Oryza sativa Japonica Group: one gene and its partners. The protein of the gene in region 3 binds, or shares a complex with, the protein of the main gene of each other region. Links are inferred from orthologs where the notes say so. Each region holds a gene or a part of one and is shown on either strand. Other genes may lie near its edges.

What was found.
Region 1: THO complex subunit 5A (region 3) and THO complex subunit 6 share a complex: the UniProt entries of both Arabidopsis thaliana proteins name them as parts of the THO complex. The link is inferred for Oryza sativa Japonica Group from reciprocal best matches to the Arabidopsis thaliana genes THO5 and DWA1.
Region 2: THO complex subunit 5A (region 3) and THO complex subunit 3 share a complex: the UniProt entries of both Arabidopsis thaliana proteins name them as parts of the THO complex. The link is inferred for Oryza sativa Japonica Group from reciprocal best matches to the Arabidopsis thaliana genes THO5 and TEX1.
Region 4: THO complex subunit 5A (region 3) and THO complex subunit 2 share a complex: the UniProt entries of both Arabidopsis thaliana proteins name them as parts of the THO complex. The link is inferred for Oryza sativa Japonica Group from reciprocal best matches to the Arabidopsis thaliana genes THO5 and THO2.
Region 5: THO complex subunit 5A (region 3) and THO complex subunit 1 share a complex: the UniProt entries of both Arabidopsis thaliana proteins name them as parts of the THO complex. The link is inferred for Oryza sativa Japonica Group from reciprocal best matches to the Arabidopsis thaliana genes THO5 and THO1.

Annotation. Positions count from the first base shown.
Region 1 is NC_089043.1:16,266,049-16,271,088, reverse strand, and holds the start of THO complex subunit 6, read left to right. Parts: upstream 1-1,662; 5' UTR 1,663-1,717; coding exon 1,718-1,954; intron 1,955-2,044; coding exon 2,045-2,160; intron 2,161-2,255; coding exon 2,256-2,332; intron 2,333-2,578; coding exon 2,579-2,624; intron 2,625-2,747; coding exon 2,748-2,808; intron 2,809-2,976; coding exon 2,977-3,030; intron 3,031-3,199; coding exon 3,200-3,284; intron 3,285-3,386; coding exon of another isoform or gene 3,387-3,390; coding exon 3,391-3,426; intron 3,427-3,733; coding exon 3,734-3,840; intron 3,841-3,925; coding exon 3,926-4,036; intron 4,037-4,716; coding exon 4,717-4,833; intron 4,834-4,943; coding exon 4,944-5,039; 3' UTR 5,040-5,040. Other genes in the region: uncharacterized protein, read left to right, coding at 158-363. UniProt on the Arabidopsis thaliana protein: Acts as a component of the THO subcomplex of the TREX complex which is thought to couple mRNA transcription, processing and nuclear export.
Region 2 is NC_089043.1:11,600,562-11,605,684, forward strand, and holds the start of THO complex subunit 3, read left to right. Parts: upstream 1-1,852; 5' UTR 1,853-2,029; coding exon 2,030-2,140; intron 2,141-2,793; coding exon 2,794-2,889; intron 2,890-3,409; coding exon 3,410-3,539; intron 3,540-3,904; coding exon 3,905-3,993; intron 3,994-4,531; coding exon 4,532-4,600; intron 4,601-4,996; coding exon 4,997-5,054; intron 5,055-5,123. UniProt on the Arabidopsis thaliana protein: Acts as a component of the THO subcomplex of the TREX complex which is thought to couple mRNA transcription, processing and nuclear export. Contributes to the integrity of the endogenous trans-acting small interfering RNA (ta-siRNA) pathway.
Region 3 is NC_089036.1:32,789,085-32,794,037, forward strand, and holds the start of THO complex subunit 5A, read left to right. Parts: upstream 1-1,596; 5' UTR 1,597-1,646; coding exon 1,647-1,889; intron 1,890-1,983; coding exon 1,984-2,274; intron 2,275-2,913; coding exon 2,914-3,250; intron 3,251-3,700; coding exon 3,701-4,035; intron 4,036-4,519; coding exon 4,520-4,767; intron 4,768-4,953. UniProt on the Arabidopsis thaliana protein: Acts as a component of the THO subcomplex of the TREX complex which is thought to couple mRNA transcription, processing and nuclear export.
Region 4 is NC_089035.1:40,603,957-40,608,398, reverse strand, and holds part of THO complex subunit 2, read left to right. Parts: intron 1-357; coding exon 358-432; intron 433-522; coding exon 523-570; intron 571-669; coding exon 670-738; intron 739-884; coding exon 885-1,018; intron 1,019-1,621; coding exon 1,622-1,697; intron 1,698-2,415; coding exon 2,416-2,606; intron 2,607-2,746; coding exon 2,747-2,827; intron 2,828-2,979; coding exon 2,980-3,178; intron 3,179-3,642; coding exon 3,643-3,831; intron 3,832-3,912; coding exon 3,913-3,993; intron 3,994-4,085; coding exon 4,086-4,205; intron 4,206-4,442. UniProt on the Arabidopsis thaliana protein: Acts as a component of the THO subcomplex of the TREX complex which is thought to couple mRNA transcription, processing and nuclear export.
Region 5 is NC_089037.1:612,508-615,643, forward strand, and holds part of THO complex subunit 1, read left to right. Parts: coding exon 1-71; intron 72-177; coding exon 178-306; intron 307-389; coding exon 390-497; intron 498-1,006; coding exon 1,007-1,123; intron 1,124-1,213; coding exon 1,214-1,296; intron 1,297-2,028; coding exon 2,029-2,095; intron 2,096-2,388; coding exon 2,389-2,460; intron 2,461-2,557; coding exon 2,558-2,608; intron 2,609-3,136. UniProt on the Arabidopsis thaliana protein: Acts as a component of the THO subcomplex of the TREX complex which is thought to couple mRNA transcription, processing and nuclear export. Contributes to the integrity of the endogenous trans-acting small interfering RNA (ta-siRNA) pathway.

The DNA of each region.
Region 1 (5,040 bases), on a different chromosome or scaffold from region 3:
CCTTCGAAGAATTTGCAGCACACAAAAAAAAATCAACAATGACTTGTCAGCTCTTTGTGTGTGATATTCATGCATGATGGTCAGATTCTTTTATGCATTGATTAACCTTATCTTCCTGTCTAATGATTATGATACACACCATTACAAAATTGTGTAGACCTGCATAAGGACTCAAAGGATGAAAGCAAGGTGTCAATGAACAAAATAGAGACCCACAAGAATGAAACTCATGGTACAAGCGATGATATAAATGAGAATACACCAGTTGAGAGAGTTAAAGGTCCAAATGTGTTTGAGCGTGCCAAGGAAGAGATTGAAGCTATTGTTGAAGCCTTCCACCCAAAGAAGGGATCTGACAAGTGAAGATTGAGATGTTCTGTTGCCTCTGTCTGCACTTGATGTGAAAACATTGACATGAGTTATTAATAGATCCATGGATGAGTTGTGAGATATCCATCGGCTGGTCTTATTATTGCCAAACTATGGAGTTGTAACTGTTGAATGGTTCATTGTACCACTGATATATATATGAGCAGAGTGTGTATCATGTGTGACATGAAAGTATTACTGTTCTTCAGTGTTTGATTTTAGTGTATGTTGAACTTAGTCCTTTGCATGATATGGTATTTTACTTGCTACCATACATGCAAAAATCTTTTGAGGTGCATAAATAAAGAGAGAGTCAATTGCTGTACAATTTTATAACCTTATGCTAAGCCTGTGGTTTGGGTTCAACATGCTTCACAAAATAACAGCATTTCCTTAGTGAAACAAGACAGAAACGCGAGATATGAACGATATGATACCTCAAACCCCATGTTCTTTGAAAAATAAAATTTTGAGTTAAATGTTGGTGTTGCTACACCTAGTAGTATAGAGTCTTGAAAAAAATTCCTCTCTTTTGATTTGTGTGGTTTCAAACGCTTCATCTAATTGATCATTCCTGTTATTTTCCTATCCATAAGATTTGAGGGAACTATTTCGAAGGATCCTTTCTCAAGACTCTAAACGGTGTGATTTTCTTAAAACTTTTTGTATAAATTTCTTAGAATACTGTTCTAATATTTTTTTTTAACTTTATACTCCATCCGTATTTTAATGTATGACGCCGTTGAATTTTTGACAAACGTTTGACCTATCGTCTTATTCAAAAAATTTATGTAATTATCATTTATTTTATTGTGACTTGATTTATCATCAAATGTTCTTTAAGCATGATATAAGTATTTTTATATTCGTATAAAAAATTTGAATAAGATGAATGGTCAAACGTTGGTTAAAAAGTCAACGGCGTCATACATTAAAATACGGAGGGAGTAACATTTATTTAATTTGTTTGTTCCCTCGAATAATTATCGCAACATTACGCGAAGCAACAACTCAAATAGATATTTCATATTATTTTATCAATGAATAAGATCTCGTCGTTGGCTTCTCATCACAAAAAAAATAAATATAAATTTATTAGAATATTGTTTTAACCTATTTTTTAAAACTTTATAACAGTTATTTTATTTGTCTGTACCCTCAAATAATTATTACAATACTGTACAAAAACAAATCAAATAGGGATTTCATATTATATTTTTTAATAATGAATAGATCTGGCCGTTGGTTTCTGATCTAAAGGCCCAGCCCAACCAGCCGCTGTCTCTTCCCCCCACTCCTCGACTCGCTCTCGCTTCCGAAGCAGCGGCGGCGGCGGCGGCGAGGCGAGATGGCGGCGGCGGCGTTGGCGGGGATGGACGCGCGGGGGTGGGACGAGGCGGCGTACAGGCGGGGCATCCTGCGGGAGCGGGACCTCTCCTGCCGCACCCTCTTCCGCGCCGTCTTCTTCGACCACCACGACGACGACCCCGACGTCCTCCTCGCCGCCGCCTCCAGCGACGGCTCCCTCGCCTCCTTCTCCCTCTCCTCCTGCATCTCCTCCTCCTCCTCCCATCCCACCCCACAGGTTCGTTCGTTCCCCACACCCGCTCCATGTGCCGCGTCCTCGTGCGCAGCTAAGGTGTTCGATCTTTTGTTTTGATTTGATTGGATTCAGACCCACCCGGATGCCGCGGTCTCTCTGGTTGATCCCGTCTGCATCGTCCAAGCGCACAGTGGCCCGGCCTACGACGTCAGGTTCTACCCGGATTCGCAGCAGCCGCTGCTCTTCAGGTGAATTGCTGTGCTGCTGCTCGTCTTCTCGGTGGCCGTTTTTGTTCAGGTGACATGGCATGACATTTGGCGACGTGATCCGTTGGTTGTGGCAGCGGCGGGGATGACGGGCGCCTTCGGGGATGGAGATGGCACGAGATGCAGAGCTGCCTTGTGCCGCTATCTCTGCAAGGTGCTGCAAAAGAACCCTCACTTCTTACTAGGATTGACTTGGTTAATTAGTTTGGTGTGTGCTTTACCTAGAAGTTCTACCTGTACTTGCTTGCGCACACCCCACAAAGAAAAGGCTAAATTTTTAACAAAGATGTAAAACATTTTGCAAGTCCCATTTCCTTTTCTAGTGCTCTAGTGCATGTTTTTTTTGTGGGGCTAATGCATGTTGTTTAATAGGTTACTTTGTCATTGCTTTTCTTTCCAGGGGATCATTTGGAGCCAGTACTTGATTTGGTGAACCCTCAGCATGAGTAAGTATTCTGTGAAAAAGGACATACATCTGATAATCATTTGACATATCGTTTATTCTAGAGAAATATGCACTTGCACTCTCATCCTCCATCTTTTCAGAGCTTTTGTTTTCGATTTTGTAGGGGTCCTTGGGGTGCTCGCTCTCCAATACCTGAAAACAACGCCATTGCGATTAACAAACAGGTCAACACCAGAAAGTCTGCATTTTCACTTCATCCAAAGAAGCAAAATAATCTCTTGTGTGCATTTTTGTTCATCGTGTATATTATATAGAAATGATGCATATTGTTACTTGCTTAAAAAAAGATATCTTATTCAGTTATTCTTTCTCATCATTCTTCTTCGCAACAGGAAGGATCTGTTTATGCAGCGGCCGGGGATGCATGTGCTTATTGCTGGGATGTGGTATGTATTTTCTTGAGGTAAATGCAATATATAGAAGTCCTGAGCTACATGGAAGGAACTACAGATTTCTTATGATTCATGTGGCACAGGCTTCCATAATTTTCTATTTTCTGTGTGCCTGCTTGAGAAAATATCTGATAGTAGGTTTTACAATGTCTTGTTCTTTCAGGAGAGTGGTAAATGTAAAATGACCTTCAAGGGACATACTGACTATTTGCACAGCATTGCAGTCCGCGAAGCGAACCGCCAGGTTGGTTTGTTATTATTGTACTGATGTAGTCCAATACCATTTTCCCATAGATGTCTTGCCTTCATTTTGTAGTAACTTTTAGTTAATAGAGCCTTTCCTTTTTCAGGTAGTTACAGGATCAGAGGATGGCACAGCCCGTATCTGGGGTGAGCAGTGCTTTTGATAGGATAATTTTGTCTTGTACTTGAAGTGTGCCTTCTCATGTTCATCCTGTTCTAACTGGTCATTTTGTATATCTGCTCGTTGATTCAAGCAAAGAAAAAGCACCAACTAGCTATTTGTCTTTTTGTACTCTTTAATTCACATCTGGTGATCTGGTCACAGGTCACATCATATTCACAAAATTTATCCTCTCTCTTATGAGTTTACCTTCAGACAGGTTTAGAAAGATTTGGCACTACATGGAAATCCATAAAAAGGCATTCTCTTATTTCTGCTCTTTGTGCACTGCAGATTGCAGAAGTGGAAAGTGCACTCAGGTTATACGTCCGGTGAAAAACAAGATTTTTGAGGGGTCATGGGTCAGTTGTGTTGCCATTGATGCAAGTGAAAGCTGGCTGGTAGGATGCACTTCAAGCTGATATAACAATGTGTTATGCATCATGTATTTTACAGTTATTATTATCTTGGTCCTATTTTTCCCAGGCTTGTGGTACTTCTAGTGGTATATCAGTTTGGAGCCTTCTTTCAAATGAGTGCATCTTTAATGTGGATTGCCATGCTCCTGTTCAAGATTTGCTGTTTGACAGAAACCAAGTAAGTCTATCTATTCGTCATGTTCAAGCTAGAGTTTAGCAAACCAGTAAAATTGCCCATGGTTAGAAATGGCTCATCTTGTATTTCAAAGATGGGCTGGCAAAAAATTTAGGACGGATCATTCCATTCTTTAGTCTTTGTGAGTTTAACAAATGCTATACCTGTAGTAAATTAGTGTTCCCCTAGTCAATTATTTCCATTAACAAGTCATATGATAGTTCCACAAGTGCATGATTTATCTATTTAACCAATGCCCTTTCTAAATTTTTTTATGCATAATTGTTTGCCAAATGAAAGTTTGCATAATTGTGTGGATATGAAATTATTATCAGATAATCTCTCAGATATGCACAGAAAATGCAATAAATTATTTCCTGATGATTTATGACATGGTTGCCAAAATTTGAAGCTTTGTGATGTTATTGTTGGAGAGAAACAGAATAAAATCAAAAGCTTTTGCTTCCAAACAAATATAAGAGTGACTCTTCAGCCAACTAGTTATTATTCCTGCAAGGAAAGCTTTTTATTATTGTCTGCTCACATCTATTAGAGATTTACCAAAGCAATGTTGAGTCTGGCGATAGACAATAGAGCAGCACGAAGGATGCATTGTTTCCCAACTCTTGTGGTTTAGGAATTATCAACTGTTTGTTTTCTTATACTCCATTTTCACCATTCAGATCTTAGCAGTCGGTGCTGAACCTCTGCTCTCTCGTTTCTCTATCAATGGGACTCTTCTTTCACAAATCAAGTGTGCTCCTCACTCAGCATTTTCTGTCTCCATACATTCTTCAGGGGTATGTCTGTCTGTCTCTTGATTCTCATTTTGAAATGACTTGGGTATCTGTTTCACCCTACTTCTGGAGTCTGGCCGATTTGTCCTGAGTTTACTACCTTTGTTGTGCAGATGGCAGCTGTTGCTGGATATGGAGGCCTTGTGGATGTAATATCACAATTTGGGAGTCATTTGTGCACTTTTGGCTGCCGGAGCCTGGATAAGTAAG
Region 2 (5,123 bases), on a different chromosome or scaffold from region 3:
GTTGATCAGAAGATTCGGCGGCAAGCGCTCAAATATTATATCGCCGAAAAATAGATGGAGTATTACTTAGATAATGATCAGTTTAAAGTTGCTAGGAGAGTAGTACATGAAGGGATTTGTGAAATTCATCAATCGGCCCGTAAGATAAATTGGTTGCTTAGGAGAGTGTGGTTTCATTGGCCGAAAATAATTGATGATTGTTTCAAATGTTATAGAGGGAGTGAAGCTTGTTAACGGATCGGCAATGTTCAATTAGCGCCTACCGCTGTGTTGAATCCTATCATTAAAGTATGGCCGTTCTGAGGTTGAGCTTTGGATTTCATTGGTCAAATTTATCCTTCGTCATCAAAAGGGCGTTGGTTCGTGCTAGTTGCAATGGATTACTTCACTAAGTGGGCCGAAGCCGTGCCGCTCGAGAATATTACTTGTACGGAGTGAGAAGTTTTGCCGAATCTTATGCTATTAAGTTGATGAGTTCTTCTCTTTACTACGCTCAGGCTAATGGATAAGCCGAGTTGAGTAATAAAACATTGTTGAAATTGTCGTTTTGCCAGTTGGGGTAAATCTTGGCTCTCTTCGGTATTTCAAGCAAGACGACTTGTCGGTTGAAGATTACAAGACCTTGATGGGAAACAATTTTAAAGACGTCATCGACAAGCGTTTAAAGACTTTGAAGGAGATGAAGACACTTCAAGACGGTGTTTTCAGAGAGCAATTAATGGGAAATACTTGAAGAAATATTTCCCGAGCATTTGGCAAGATGCTTAGGAAGTCCTATGGGCGGTAATTGGATTATCACCCTGACATAACATGTTCTATGCTTTTAGGTTCACGTATGTTTACAAAAAAGGCAGGGGGGCATGTGTTTACACCCAAATTTGGCACCTATGGACGAAATAGAGGAAAATTGCCAAAGTTTGGAAAGTGACGGGTTTCCTTCACAGGGCCGGTTAGACCACAGGTGTGTGGGCGGTCTGACCGTCTAGTAGGGCCGGTCTGACCGCAGGTATGTGGGCGGTCAAACCGTCAGGGTCCGAGTCCGAGTTTGTTTTCGTCGGGTCTCGGGTTTCCTTGCCTGGGAAGGTAGGTTTCGTGTTTCCTTTGGTTTCTATCCCGAGTTGGATATGGAGAAGGGCCTGTAGAGGGTAAGACCAACCCCTATTTAAGGGACAAGGCCGGTTCATTGTAAAACCCCCGAATACAATTTACTTGAATCGTTCTTTTACCATGTTTTCTATTTTACCCTAGTTTTAATCCATCTTTGTCGGTTTGCGCCGTAAACCGTCCGCCGCCGCTGCGAGAGTGCGACACCTCTTTGTAGATTTGTCCTGAAAACCTTCCGTATTGCCTATGAGACAGGTTAGTTATCCTCATATCGATCTAAATCGGCTTAGAGGCTGATTTTTGATCTCTAAATCGGCTCCGCTAGCCGGTTTAGCTGTTTTTCTACAAAACCCATCTTGATTTGGCCGTTTGGCTAGATCGAGGTGGTTGGCGACTCCATATCACCGCAAGGCGTTTAGGTGCTGCGATCGTAATTGTCGACTTGTCACAAAAAGTTGCCAACAGCCGCAGCGGCTGTCCCCTCCAAAGAGGTGGTGGAGAGAGATGAGAAAAAAAAAGAGGGGAAAGATGAATCTAAGAAGACGAAGATGGATGGAAAATATTACTATAGTGGCATGGTTCTAATTTTATAAAATTTCAATGTCACAATTAAAAAAGACGAATTGTAATAACATTTATCGGTATATTTACAATGGCATGGATTCAATTAAACAAAAACCAAAGGATGTGTCCATGGCTCCATGGTAAGGATAACGCATGAACTTGTGGCATGAATAAACAAAAAAGTAGAAGGACGTTTCTGCGAAAACCCTCTCCTCTTCCCCGCCGACGCCGTCCCCGGCTCTCCCTCCTCCGTCTCGCGCCCGCCGCCGCCGCCACCGCCACCGCCGCCGCCGCCTTGCGCCTCGTGACGCGGTGAGTGGGGAATAGCAAAACCAGACCCGTGCCCCAGTCCGCGGGGACAATGGAGGGGAAAGAAGACGACAGACGGCGGGGCGGCGGTGGCGGAAGCTCGACGCCGGGGATGAACCTGAAGAACCTGGTGTCGAGGGAGTATTTCGGCCACAAGAAGAAGGTAACCTTTTCGATTCCCCCCTCACCAATCCTACGCGGGGATAAGTTTTTTTCTCATGAGGTCCTAAACCCTCAAAAGTCCTGCGAGGGGGAAGCCCTAAAATCCGGATGTTACAAGCAAAAATTAGGACGAAAATGCATCCATCTTTGGTTCACACGTACGGTTTTGTTTCTAATTCTAGAGCAGGATATAGTGATTGATTCCTCGCGTTCATGCCGTATATATGCTGATTCTTTTGCTCTAGGGCTAAGCCATGTTGAGATTGAATGAAGCTTTGGTTGGTTGCTTTCCTTCTGGGAGCTGGTGAATGAGCGCATTGTCAAATATGATTCCTGGTCATAATTACTCCTAATTTTTGAAGGAATTTGGTTTCACGAAAAGGGACTTCTTGTCTGACTTTGTAAAGTTGCTACTCCTCTGAGGGGAAGAATTCAAAGGGAAAAAAAAATCTTACTTGCAGAAAGAATCATAGTACAACGATATTTCTCTGTTTCTTTCTTGAATTCTGTTTCTTGTTTTTCTAAATAATCCTTCCACACATGGAGGTGCAGCATTTAACTGGTTCTGTCGCTTTTTGCCTTCTTTTTTATCTATCTTACATACATAATCAGCCTTAAATTTTGTATAATTCTGATCTTTTGTTTTACTGTTAGGTGCACTCTGTAGCATGGAACTGCCTAGGCATGAAGCTTGCTTCAGGCTCTATTGATCATACTGCACGTGTATGGAGTATCGATCCCCATGGCCATGTAAACATTCTCTCCTTTCCTGATTGCAAACAAAATAACCTTCATTGTTATTATGGAATTATTAGATAAACGCATTTATTGTCATTCACTATGAATAACTGTCACCCTTTTTTTATGAACATTTCTATAAATTTGAAAGATAAGCATGATGATTAATTGGAAATATCTCCCGCTGTATAATTTAAAATTATAGAAACTCAGACAGTAATCACACTTAAGCATACCATAGCCTGTGTCTCTGAGACATATGTTTGAGCTATTTAATGTGAAATTGTGAATGATTTCTTAGCTAGGGGTTCTTTTGGATCCCTCAGTTGTACTTATTTCTTCTTCTTAATGAAAGGAAGCGCAGCCCTCCTGCGGTTTTGAGGAAAATAAATTCTAAGCTAAATTATATTGTTTTGAGAACACTAAGACATTTTTGGTTGGAACGTAGGAGGGGAAAAAACCCCAGATGGTTTCTATTTCCCTGGAAGTACCAAGTCAGTACTGTGCTGATTAGGGTTTTTATATTGCACAGTCCAAGGTTAAAGACATTGAATTGAAAGGCCACACAGATTGTGTAGATCAGCTCTGCTGGGATCCGAAGCATCCTGATACAGTTGCTACAGCAGCTGCTGACAAGTCAATTCGCCTCTGGGATGCACGGAGTAAGTGGTTCCCTTCATCTTTGAAGGTTAAAGAACTAAGATATCCACAGTTGTGTTCAGCATTCTCAGCTTCTCTCTGAAATTGATGAATCCCTTTTTGTCACTTTGTTCAATCCCTATGTTCCATTTACAATGAACTTGTTGTTACCAGACAAGATGTCTTATTCTTTTGTGTAGTGACTCTACCTGAAAGTTAGTTTCAGAATTTTTTTAGTTGTACTTCGATTTTTTTCATAGGATTGTACATCATACTTTTGATTCTCTATTTATAACTCTACAAGATTTGGGCCTGCAGTTTGCCTTTTAAAATTATATTATTTATTTGACCCGCTATTTCTCAAACTGTTTGACGTGTTCTTTTCCAGGTGGAAAATGTCAAGTCGTCGAACTTAGTGGAGAAAACATCAATATCACTTATAAACATGGTGGTACTCAAATAGCTGTTGGAAACAAGGTATGTATTGCCTAGGCTGTTATCCCTGTTAACTTCAAGAACGGTAGTCATTTATGACTAAGGAACTGGTTTTGATTTGCATATATCATGCCAGAAGAGGGTTACAATATTTTGAAAGGAATTTATAAAATTCTTTCCAAAGAGAAATGTGTAACTATAATCTGATTTATATTAGATTGAGTGATGAGTTATTTGGCAAATTAGCATCTAAATTGCAATGTTCATTCTTGTGTTTGACATGCTCTCTGTATAAGTATCAATACAACATAGCTCAGTATGGACACACTTGAATATATACATATTGATCCTAAATTAGATGGAATTATTTACTTTTTTTGCTATGCAAAGTTAGTAAAGTGTTATTGAGCATGGGGACTGGGGAGTGGTGTGTAAATTTTATAATAATTGTAGTAAACCTATTTTTATAAAGTTTACAAGTTAGTTCGCAAGGTCCCGCGTACACCAATGTGTTTACTTTGTGAGTTCTAGTTTTATAAAATTGTACAAGTGTAGTAACAGCTGTCACTATGATTTGCAGGAGGATGAGTTGACAATAGTGGATGTTCGGAAGCTAAAAGCCCTTCACAAATTTAAGTTTAATTATGAGGTACTTTCCACTTGAAGGTTTGAATTGTTGAAACATTCTTCTAGCAATTTTCTTCTTCCTTTTGGAATCTTTCGCTGCTCTGAATGAACATGCACATATAGTCATATACCTTTTGAGAAAAAGTAGAGTGGGCATAAGTCGGCAGCATGTGCATCTTTGTCTGGAACAGGAAAATTGCCTGCTGGTATTTGAATTAGTACTGACTACTGAGTGTGAATTACCTAACTATTCGATGTACTTTAATTTCATTTGCTGCATTACTTATGTTGCAGTTTTGTAAATTTTCTATTTCAACTAGCTAAATGCCCGTACACCTGCTACTGATAAAAATGAATCATATAGCTCCTCAGATCAGTTAACTTTTCTGAAGTAAATTATTGATTTGTTGTTCCTCAGATAAATGAGATTGCATGGAACAAAACTGGAGATTTATTCTTCATCACTACTGGACTTGGTAAGATACAAAACCCATATGTTGTTTTAAGTTTCAATATCACACCAGTTGGTATCAGTGTAATTACAT
Region 3 (4,953 bases):
AGCTGCAATTTGGCACGGCTCTGGGTTGCGAAAGCAAAGCTTCGCGCTTTTGTAGTAGGGCCGATTGGTACACATGATTGCGCTGGATCATCACGGACCAGCCTGTCCGTTGTACGCTCGTAGTCGTATAATAAACTCAACAGATCACGGACGAACCGCTCGTGATAGTCGGACGTCCAGAGAGTGATCGATGATCATACATGGCAAAGAAAGTTTACTGATACAATCACGGAGTGTTTATGTTCGTCTTCTTCTCCACAATGCACAATCTCGACTCCGCCCTTATCATTGGGGTGAATCCACTAGAGATAGGCCGCCGCAAGTGAGATATCATATTGTAAGTTTTCTTTTAGATGATTGCAGGGAAACATCACGAAGTCATGGCTTTCACTCGCAATTTGTTCGTGTTATGCTTACCGATCAAGATTAGCTGATTACTCAATAAATACACACACCCAAGATTCAGCCTGACCAAGAATCACGGTACTACTTATTCACCGCCCTGCTACCGTTGTTGGCCTCCATGGCTACCCGCACGTGCCCTCCACGTCGACCGGCTCCGCCTCTTCCCCAGGTTCGTTGCAGCGAACACGCTGTAAATTTTGATATATTAGGTTATTCCTAACTCAAAACACTACACATAGTTTCCATAAACTCTACATCATTAAAAAACTGGTACTAGACACTACTATTCCAATACAAACATCACTATATATATTTAAATTTAATGCTATTTATCTCATATGATGTCTTGGATGTTGTGTAGAAACCAAGTCTCATATAAGACAAGGTTTCCTTCTCTTTTCTCATGTATTCACTTTCCACATCATTTTTCATCCTAGGTGACAGTTTTATTTAATGTTACGGATACCATCCTAGTCATTGGGTTGGAAATGACCTACTTATTATAGTTGGATTTGCGGCTTTGGAAACTTTCTAGCTTCACTACCGATCGGTTAGATGCGTAGTCGTCGGGATGTAGACGGGCTCATGGAATGACGGGGTGGAGCACTGGTTCGACCCTGGCACGGCATGCAAGAAATGCCACAGCTAGTGGAGGGTGGAGCGCTGGTCCGCCACCGGCGAGTGGCGTGCAAGAAACACAACAGTGGGATTGGGGGAGAAAGAACGAAGGGGAAAAGGGTAATCTCATGCACTCCTTAAATTTTCCAAAGCTGTCTCAAACGTCAAATAAAAAAAGATGGAGACAATATATTTTTTTATTCTAATATCACATAAGCGTCACGTGAGACAAAAACTAAATCAACACCATCACGTAGGCATTACGTCAGCAAACCTCCGATGATTTAAATTGTACCGGTTTTAGTAGTTGAGGGATCGAGATATCCGATATTACGATTTTGAAGACTGGTTCACTAGTTTTAAGGTAATCAAAGTGGACTTATTTCCTCCAAATAAAATCTGCCACATGGGCCTCCTTTAAGTGTCTAAAGGTTAGATGGGCCGAGCGGTTCTCCCTTCTGGGCCTAACCGGTAATTCTCTCTTTCTCTCTCTACAAATTGGGCCCGAAACGCTGAACCGTTAGCCCGCACGACAACTCTAGGTCAGCCACGAATCGTTTCACCTCACTTCCCACCACCTCTCGCCGCTTCGGGCATCGTCTCTCCCAGCGCCGGCCGGACCGATGGCGGCGGAGCCAGCAGCGGCCGAAGCCATGGATGTCGAGGCGCCGGCGCGACCAACCACCACCACCAGCACTGTATCCACCTCGAAGGGCAAGTCCCCCCACGACCTCCTCGCGGAGACCCGCGCCTCCGTGGAGGAGGTCGCCGCCCGGATCCTCGCCATCAAGAAGGACGACGCCCCCAGAACCGAGCTCCGGGAGCTCGTCGCCCAGATGTCCCTCCTCCTCATCACGCTTCGCCAGGTCCGTGCCGCTCCCGAATCCGCAACGCCTCTTCGCCGGGAACCCCTCGCGTTAGATCTGCTGTTTGCTCACTCGAGGGTTTGGATTTGCGCAGGCGAACAGGGAGATACTGATGGAGGAGGACAGGGTGAAGGCGGAGACGGAGGCGGCGAAGGCGCCCGTGGACTCCACGACGCTGCAGCTGCACAACCTTCTGTACGAGAAGAACCACTACGTGAAGGCCATTAGGGCGTGCCTCGACTTCCAGACCAAGTACCCGGGCATAGAGCTCGTGCCGACGGAGGAGTTCCACCGCGCCGCGCCGGCGGACATCCGCGATAAGACGCTCGCTGCTGACGCGTCCCACGACCTCATGCTCAAGCGCCTCAATTTCGAGCTAGTCCAGGTTGTGTACCGTGATCAGTTGATTCAGTTCCTACACAAATAGGAGATTTACTTGTCATGGGATAAATTCTTGTGCTTTGTTCATTGTTCGTCTAAATGATTAAAGCATCATAGAGAGTGTACAGGATTGTATGAGCATTTAGATTGGGGGTTTGTTCTGAAGGATCAGGGTAATAATCGAAAGAAAGAATCACATCGTAGCTGGGTTGACCTGCTAGTAAATTTAACGTAAATATTTAGCTTGGCTTGCAGGATTGGTTCTCCAAAAATTCAAATGTATATATAGAAAATGTTTTATAAATTCACCGTTATTTTTGTAGTTTAGAGTGCTCATATATCAAACTGTTCTTAAGTAGAACGCTTTGTTGTTATGGAAACTCTTTTTATGTATATTGATTTTAGTCAGTTGCATAATTCTTCTTAAATCTGATAATTCTTTGTGTGACTAGTGATCAAGGTTTGTAGTATGTTTTTGGATATGATTTGATCTGCTTAATTTGTTTATCACCTCTAGTTGTTTGAATATGTGTTTGCTTGCTAGGACAAAAGTCCCTTACTCCCTTTGTGCTAGTGTGGTCTTGATTTGTTTGGGTCCCAATATTTGTTCTGATATCTAAAGTAAGTTTGAAATCTGAAACAGCGGAAAGAGCTATGCAAGCTACATGAGAAATTGGAGCAGCGGAAGAGCAGTTTGTTGGACACAATTGCAAATCAGAAAAAGTTCCTTTCGAGCCTCCCAACCCATTTGAAATCACTGAAGAAAGCATCATTGCCAGTGCAGCAGCAGCTGGGGATGCAACATACCAAGAAACTAAAGCAGCATCATGCAGCTGAACTGCTTCCAACTCCTCTATATATAGTTTACACGCAGTTTTTAGGACAGAAAGAAGCATTCGGAGAGAATATTGAAGTGGAGATCACTGGAAGCACAAAGGATGCTCAGATGTTTGCTCAACAGCAAGCTAAGCAGGAAAATGGTTGGTTCATATAATCATATCTCATTGGAATATAGTTTATTTGATTTCCTATTACAGAAGTGCAATACTCGCAATAATTAATGACATTTATTCTATCTCTTCTCATGTACCGTATGATATGTAAGGGATCCTTTTTACTACTTTTAGAAAAGCAATGTAGCGTAGCCACATATTAAATGACCAGATGCAATTTCCTAGTAGATACTTGTGTCTAGCATAAACAGTTCGTTCTCATATAGCAGTATAGAAGCCCCGGTCTTTTATGGAAGCTGTTATATTTTAGTTCCTCATTACAAATTGAAGCTGCATGTAAATAATGCATGCTTGCTTCAATACTTGTATAATGGTTAGAATCAGATTGCTAATGGTTCTCTTCCACTTGTTATAATCTGTAAAGGTGGTAGACTAGGAAATATTTCTGATAAAGCGTGTCTTTTGTATCTGCAATAGCTGGCACTTTGTCAAATGGTGATAATAGAGTGGATGACGATGCAATTGATGATGAAGAAGATGCTCAAAGAAGAAGGTCAAGGTCAAGAAAAAGTGTTGTGAAGGAAGCTAGTAATTCAGTAGTGGCATATCAACTTCATCCCCTTAAAGTTATTCTCCATGTATACGACACTGAAGAGTCTGGAGCAAAGCGTCGTAAGCTCATGGTCCTGAGATTCGACTACTTGGCAAAGTTGAACGTTGTTTGTGTTGGAATTGAAGATTCAAAGGGGCTGGACCATGATATCCTATGCAACTTATTTCCAGATGACACTGGTTTAGAGTTGCCTCATCAGGTTGGAATCAGCTGATTTTGACTATTGCTAGCTGAATGCCCTTGCATTTTAATGGAATTAAAAGAAAAAAAATCATATCATTACCATTTCAAATATTAATCCAAGAATTCATATTGCTGTTGGAATTTGATATCTTCCCCTTAAATACTTTGTATAAAATTCTCTTATTATTGTTTTGATACCTAACACAGTATACCTACTTGTTCATATCACTATTTGATGGTCCCACATGTCAGGAGATATCATAGTGGTAGGTTAAGGCAGATTCACCATTCACCACCACCACTTGAGTTTTTTTAAAGGAATATATATACAAATCATTCTGTGACAATCTCTAGTTGATAGGTCATTTTGGTTTCCTTATATTTGTGGCCATAGGCAGCAGTGAGCTATCATGGCTTTATCTCATGTTGGTAGCCAAATGTTTTTGGTTAGTTCTCTGTTATATTATCTTAAAGAGAGTCGTTTTATCAATTTTATGCAGATGGCTAAACTTTATGCTGGGGAGGTTCCGAACTTCAGTGAAAAGGATTCAAGGCCATACAAGTGGGCACAACATCTAGCTGGTATAGATTTCTTGCCAGAAGTGCCTCTATCTGTTGGTGATGATTCTAACAGAGCATCGAGAAGTGCGGACTTGTCATCTGGGCTTGCTTTATACCGTCAGCAGAATCGTGCACAGACTATTTTGCAGAGAATCCGCTCACGGAAGGTTGCACAGATGGCTCTTACGTGAGTCACTGCTTCACAATCTTGTAGTTTGGGATGTAACAAAATTTGGATGGTAGATCCTTATAGATGGAGGAAATGTACTTTGGCTGATGAGTTTTTGCTTCATTGCACATGTCATTCTGTGACGTGCTACATTATTAGTTGATGAAAAATATTTGATGAGCAAAGTTTGTGAACATCTCGTCT
Region 4 (4,442 bases), on a different chromosome or scaffold from region 3:
GAAAGGAGTAACAGAATCTAGAAAACTGTGTTTGGTGTGTGTCCAGTTTCTACACTCCCTTAAACGACCTAATTATTGTTTGACCTTAGTTATACAGGTTATAGTTCATGAGGTATCTACAAATAAATTAGTTTGTTTTGATGTTCAATTTGTAACTGATCTAAAACAGTCTAGTTGGATCAGAAAATAGTGGATAGCACAGTATCCCTATTCTTTTGCAGCAATTTTTTTGACACATGTTCCACTAGAAGGCACACCTGGATTTTTTTTGACACATCTTCAGTTAATTTCTGTGATGATTTACTGAAGTTCCGTTGTTTTTAACCTTCTTATCATATTTGCTTCTGGATTGTTCAGGTAACCCTCCTTTGTCAAATTGGTTCAGATTTGGCTTGTCAAAATTCTTCTTCAGTTACTATGAGCATTATAAAGGTGTGCTCTAGAATATTCCTTTCTTCCTCCTGTACTGTTATTTAAGCATTTGAGCATCTTTGTGATATAACATTATGTTTTTTATGGCAGTCATTGATTGGGCATTTTGACCTGGACCCAAATCGTGTGTTTGATATTGTGAGTTTTGATTTGCTGTCCACTTTTTTGTTATGCATTGTACTGTGTGAAAGCGTGTTACCGAAAGCATGTAGTGATGTTATTCTTGTATTCTGCTAGGTTCTGGAATGTTTTGAGCTCTATCCGGATAATACCATCTTTTGTCAGCTTATACCTCTTTTCCCTAAGGTATTCCTTTATCATACTTCATAGAGTATACTTCATACTTCATATGGTTATATTCCTTTTAATATAATAATGTAAACCTCCTCTAAAGATTATTAGCATACTTCATACAATATTTCAGCCTATTTTACTACTTCCTTTTATTGCAGTCCCATGCTGCTCAAATATTGGGGTTCAAGTTCCAATATTACCAACGATTGGATGTCAATAGCACTGTTCCACCTGGGCTTTTCCGGATAGCAGCTTTGTTGGTCAAATCTGGTTTTATTGACCTTGATAGCCTGTAAGTTTACTAAATCTCCTTGACTTCCTGATGGTTACAGTGATGTTAGACATCACCCAAAACAAAATCTGCAATTTGTATTCTTTATAAAAATATCTACTATGCTTTAAGCACACTTTTTTTTTTTAAAAAAACACATACATCCTCTAATAAGGTTTATGTCCATGTAAATTAATGTATGCATGTAATTAATGCCTTCGTATTGGGATTTACTCTCCAACTTTGGACTCTACTTTTTCTTCAGTGTTAACTCTTTACATTGGCTCCTGTTCTTTAATAACAAGAATTTTTTTAATTTCCTCTGATTCTGTGTGGCACTCTACCATTATCGATTTTGCTCAAAATGTATTAGTACAGCTACTGGTGTGTTAAAGGTTACACTGATTATGGTTTCAAGTTATCAATTTATCATTATGATTGCTCATAATGTATTAGTGCGGCTACTGGTGCAATCATGGTTTCTAGTTATGGATTGTTTTTACGTTCCTGATTCCTACTACACTATATGAGCATGACTTTTTTTTGCCACAATATATCTACTTGGGAATGGCCTTTCAACTCCAACTCTCATGAGTCATGACTTATATCTGAATTGTATTGCAGCTATGCTCATTTACTTCCAAATGATGATGAGGCATTTGAGCATTTTGACTCCTTCGTCACGAGGAAAATCGATGAGGTTAATATTCATTTTGTCCTCCTGAAGTTCATGTTTTTGGAAATATTTGCTATATCCAGGCATTGTGAAAGAGAGTTGTATGTATGCCATCTCATTACAGATTTAAACTTGAAATGATAAAAGTACAAATTCAATTGATAGTGCGACACCAAGCCCCCCCTCCCCTTCTTTTTATTTTGCAATTTTGCTATGTAACAAAATGAAATCCCACTGTTTTAAAAGAGGAAGAAAGACAATGTTGTAAATCATGATTCTGTATATGCAGGAAATAACACCATGATAATGCATAACCTTTGGGATTAGGATAAAAAAACGATCTGGGGATATAGGGATTAGAGGATATATGCAAAATGAATGTGTGGGGAATAAAATCGAAAGTAACATTTTGGATTGACAGATATGTAGATGTTGGCTTTATTGTGGTGTATGGGTATTTATCTTTAAATATAGGTACCTTCTGTTAACAAGATGTAACCCTTACGTAGCAAAACAACTTTGGTTGTGGAATGGCGGAACTTTATTTTTTTGTAGCTGAAAAATTTCAAGTTGAGCATGCAAATTTGTTCATACATTCCGGTGAAGTCATTTCAGAATCTATCAGGTTAAATGGTTCTGTAATTGAAAATAATCAGGATTTGTTTGTTTGTACTTCAGCACTTTAATGGTTGTGGTGTATTTTGCAATTTCTGGAACTTAGCCCTCTCTTTCTTAATTCCAGGCTAGTAATATAGGCAAAATAAATCTTGCTGCCACTGGGAAGGACCTTATGGATGACGAGAAGCAAGAAATAACTATTGATTTGTACACAGCATTGGAGATGGAAAATGATATAATTGATGAGCGAGCCCCTGAGATTGAAAAGAACCAGAAACTTGGACTTCTTCTTGGTTTCCTGTCAGTTCATGATTGGTAATGTTCATGTGTTCCATCAATTTATTTTGTCTGCTTGCTATTTGGTTAAATATATAATTGCATTTAGCAGTTAATACATCTATCCTTTTTTGTACTTATTATACTTTTGGTAACTGAATTCTACCATTGTTTGGCAGGGATCATGCACAACTCCTCTTTGAGCGTCTTGCACGCCTAAATCCTGTTGAGCATGTTGAAATTTGTGATAGTTTATTTAGGTTTGTCAACTTTCTCTGCATATGCAAGCATCCTCAACATTACTTGTAGTTCTCTGCAAACAGGGCATATGATGGTGCTTGATACATATGCCCTTGTATTACAACACATTCCCTGGTTAATATTATTCAATTTTGTTTTTTTGTTCATGCAGACTTATTGAAAGGAGTATTTCTTCAGTCTATGATATAATTTTCCAAACACATTATAAGATGCCTCGTAACCCTGTTTATATGATGGACACATCACCTTCCTCTTCACAAAGTTTTTCGGTTGATCCGCCGAAAGAGTTTTTCCAAATGCTTTCTGCTTGTGGACCATACCTTCATCGTAACACACAATTATTTCAGAAGGTAGTGTTGTTTATTTTCTCTGCTAATATTCTCATAGCAGTTCATGCTTGAACATGACATGCTTCCGGCTTCTGTTTTTGACTGGAGATTTTCTCTAATACCCCTATCACATGTATTATTTGTCTTGTGTTGTTAAAATTTGTGTAAACTAGTTATCATGAGTTCTTTTATCCAATCAATGGTTTTATGGTTGCCATGAGGCTTGTGACCAGATTTTTGTTTTCTGGCTTGCATTGTTGTAATAATTCAATAAGTAAAAAACACCGTTCTTGTTGCTTAACTACTACAGATAATTTATAATGTCTTGTAGCTTATAGTGCAAATGGGTTCTATTGACAAGTTGTTGCATATTCAAACGAACTATCCTATTATTAAATGTTTCCATTATGCAGTATCACCTGGAGTATCTATTAACAAGTTGTTGCATGTTTTACCTAATGTAGCATTCTCCATGTTAACTACAGGTTTGCAGAGTACTTAAAGCGTACCATCTGTCAGCAAAAGAGTCAATCCGTACAGCAGGTGTAATGTCTCCAGACTCGCGAATTGAAGAAGCACTTGGATCGTGCTTGCTACCATCATTGCAGCTTATACCTGCAAATCCTGCTGTTGATATGGAGATATGGGGAGTTCTTTCTCTTCTTCCTTATGAGGTTCGTAGTATTGTTCATAGTTTGTTTATTTGCCCAATTCATTTGTAAACAATGTTTTACAATTGTGCCACTCATTTTTAGACCCGTTATCGCTTATATGGTGAATGGGAGAAGGATACCGAACAAAACCCAATTGTCCTTGCTGCAAGGCAAACTGCAAAGGTTGATTATTTATTCCATGACTGAGTTTTCTTATGTTTCCCCTATAATTTTATCTTCAGCTGTCAATTAACTGTCCTTATTTTTTTGATTAGTTGGATACCAGAAGGCTCTTAAAGCGGCTTGCTAAGGAAAATCTGAAGCAACTTGGCCGCATGGTGGCTAAACTTGCCCATGCAAATCCAATGACAGTACTTCGGACAATTATCCAACAGGTATCTTGAATGAACAAGTGCATATAGTTGCTACTCCCTCCATTTCATATTATAAGTAGCTTTGTCTTTTTTTCTGGTCAAACTTAAAGTAGTGAAACAAAACATATTACCAAAATATATTCAATGTTAGGTTTAATGAAACTGATTTGGTGTTTTAGATGTTGCTAAATTTTTCTATAAACTTGGTCAAACTTAAAAAAGTTTAACTAGGAAAAAGTCAAAGTGACTTATAATATG
Region 5 (3,136 bases), on a different chromosome or scaffold from region 3:
AGCATTTTAGTAACCCTGCTTTAACTGCTGCAAATCTGACAAGATGGCAAAAGTTTGTGTCCAATTTAACGGTACATCCTTTTGCGCATTTTTACAATTACATGAACCTTTTTCTTTCCCAATGCAAAATGTTAATTCTGAACTTCTCGTTGATGTTTACTGTTAATGAAAGTGCAGGTTGTGCTAAGCACATTTGAAGCTCAGCCTCTCAGTGACGATGATGGAAAACTTAACAATCTTGACCAAGAGGAAGATGCTGCTTTCAATATTAAGTACCTGACAAGTAGTAAATTGATGGGTTTGGAGGTAAGAACTTTTTGATCAGCTGATACTAACTTTTTATTATTGTTCACTGTTCATAGACTCATATGGCAATTGCTTCTTTGCAGTTGAAGGACCCAAGTTTTCGACGCCACATCCTTGTCCAGTGCCTCATATTCTTCGACTTTCTCAAGGCACCTGGAAAGACTGACAAAGAAGGTCCAACTGGGAGCATGGTTAGTCCACTAAATGACTTCTCTGATTGTTTTCCATGGACAGTTGAACTTAGACTTGAGCATCTGAAATTGTGCTGTTACCAAATTTTTAGTATTCACCTATTACTACATGATTGCTCTTGAGTTTGTGATAGTCACAACAGCAAATGTGGCAAAGCTAGCATTAGTTCTCATGAAACCATCAGCTCCTTTTTCTGTGCATGCTATGTGAGATCGTAAGTAGTCTGTGATAGCTATTCCCATTTTAGTTGAACCGATTATTATCACTTATTAGCATACTTCTCACAGCGTGTGCTACTGGGCATGTAAGTATTAACAAACACTGATTGCACAAATTGTCCAAACCGTATGAAGTTGCTTGGCAGTGCTAGTTTTTAGTATAACAGTGCCAACTAATACCAACTGCCTGCCTGATACAACTGGGTTATAGTGGCTAGTACAGACAATGAATCAGGATTAAGGAAATGCCACTCTGTACTCTGTATTAACTTTATGCTCTCTACAATCAGAAAGAGGAAATCGATTCTTGTGAAGAGCGTGTTAAGAAACTTCTGGAGATAATTCCACCAAAAGGGAAGGACTTCCTACAAAGCATCGAGCATATTCTTGAGCGGGAGAAAAATTGGGTATCCTCTTAGCTGCATGTAAGCAATATTTTATCTTAACATAGTAATTCTCACAACCAATGATTCTGTTCCTGCTGGCTCAACTTGAAGGTATGGTGGAAACGAGATGGGTGTCTAGCGTTTGAAAAACAACCTTTTGAAAAGAAACCAGGCCAAGCTGGAGTCAGAAAACGGTATGCTACTTCCTTTCTTCTGGCACTGAATTTGCCATTAGTCTATTATTGGTTCTGCTGTTGATGTGCTAGCCTATCATAATGTGTAACAGTTACAATAGATTTGAAATGATTTTAGTGCTAACTAAAAGAACAGCAGCTATCAACTGTGATATTGTCTTATTAAATACATCCCGCAAAGCATACTGTTTATAATTTTGATGGTACTGGGAGCACCATATCCTAAACATTGTGTCACTGGGAGCATTAACTTCAAATACACTTTATCTGAATTACCATGGAGCAGACAAATTAGTTATTTTATAATTTTGTGCTGCCAGTTTTTTTAATGTTCGCCAGAAGCAAGAATCATGAATTTCACCTGTTTCACATCAACATTCTTATATAGTGTCAACTTACAATGTTATGGATTTAGATGTGTTGTTATATGTATGAAGTTCACAATTTGTATTCATTTGTGCTAATGCAACTAGTTTCATATTTTTCATGAGTGAAGAGTGTAAGAATGGTCTTTGATATCGATTGCCTCGTTGAGTAGTTGTTTGTGGCATAGGTTTATTTAGAGAAAAGGTAAAAAAACAAATTAGTAGGAAATATAGCATAGATTCTTGGAGTTAACAAGCCAGTATTCTACTTCACATCCTCATGTCGATTTGTAATATGAATTCACACAAGAAAGTCCATGTCCAAATGCAATCTAATTCTTTGATATTTTGCTTTCCTTCCTTGTAGTAAGCCAAGGTGGAGATTGGGAAACAAAGAACTTGCCCAACTGTGGAAATGGGCTGAACAAAACCCTGTATGTTCTACCAAGCATCCCATTACTATTATGTTTGACTTGTTACTAATAGATTTGCATAATCCAGTTTAAAAGGGTTCCATCCGTTGAGTTCCCTATCTGTGCCTTTCTGAGTCATTTTCTATCCTTTTGTCATGCAACACTCTACTATTTGAAGGCATACATCTTCCATTAATCGGCCTTTCTCATCACTTTTTATCATTTTGTGATGCAACTTGTCCAACATTTAAATTCATCATTTTTTTAGCATTTATTTTTTTGCATCTGACTTCTAATTTCTCCGTGAGCTGCAGAATGCTCTGACTGATTCTGAACGTATTTGCATGCCATCAGTAACAGAATATTGGAAACCACTTGCAGAAGATGTAAGTGTTTCAATTTATATAGTCATTTTTATCCGTCCTTTTTGCTTTGAGCAAACCAATTTATTAGTGCAATCCTCTAATTATGTGTAACTTACAGATGGATCCATCTGCTGGTATTGAGGATGAATATCACCACAAGAATAATCGTGTGAGTATAGATCTCAGCAACACTATTTCCTGTTGAGATGATTATACTAAAATTTGGTTCTGTGATGACTGTACCAGAACCCAATTAATAAACAGGGTATAGCATAGGCTATTTACATTTAGGATCTGGTTTAAATAGGAAGATATATCACCTCTCGGGGAGCTAAAATACAATTATTCTTCTAAGCGGGTACTGCTAAGACTAATGCTAAAAAGACTGGGTCTATTACCATGTTACAAATGTCATCCAACCTCCCAATTTTTCAGTAGGAGTGGTATTTGTTAGCCTTTATTTGTTTGCTCGTATTGGGTGAATATGTTGATCCATGTGGGAATTAAATCAAGCATAAGTGCACTTCTGTGCTTACATTATTCAAATAAAATGTTGAAGTAAGCACATCCACCTTCTTCAATAGAACTTAGGTACTTCATAGTTTATTAAAATCAAGTGCATGATCTACTAGAGCAAATGATACCGTACATTGTTATCATGTGTAGCAAAAGAGAATCTGATATAGTTCTGGTCTAC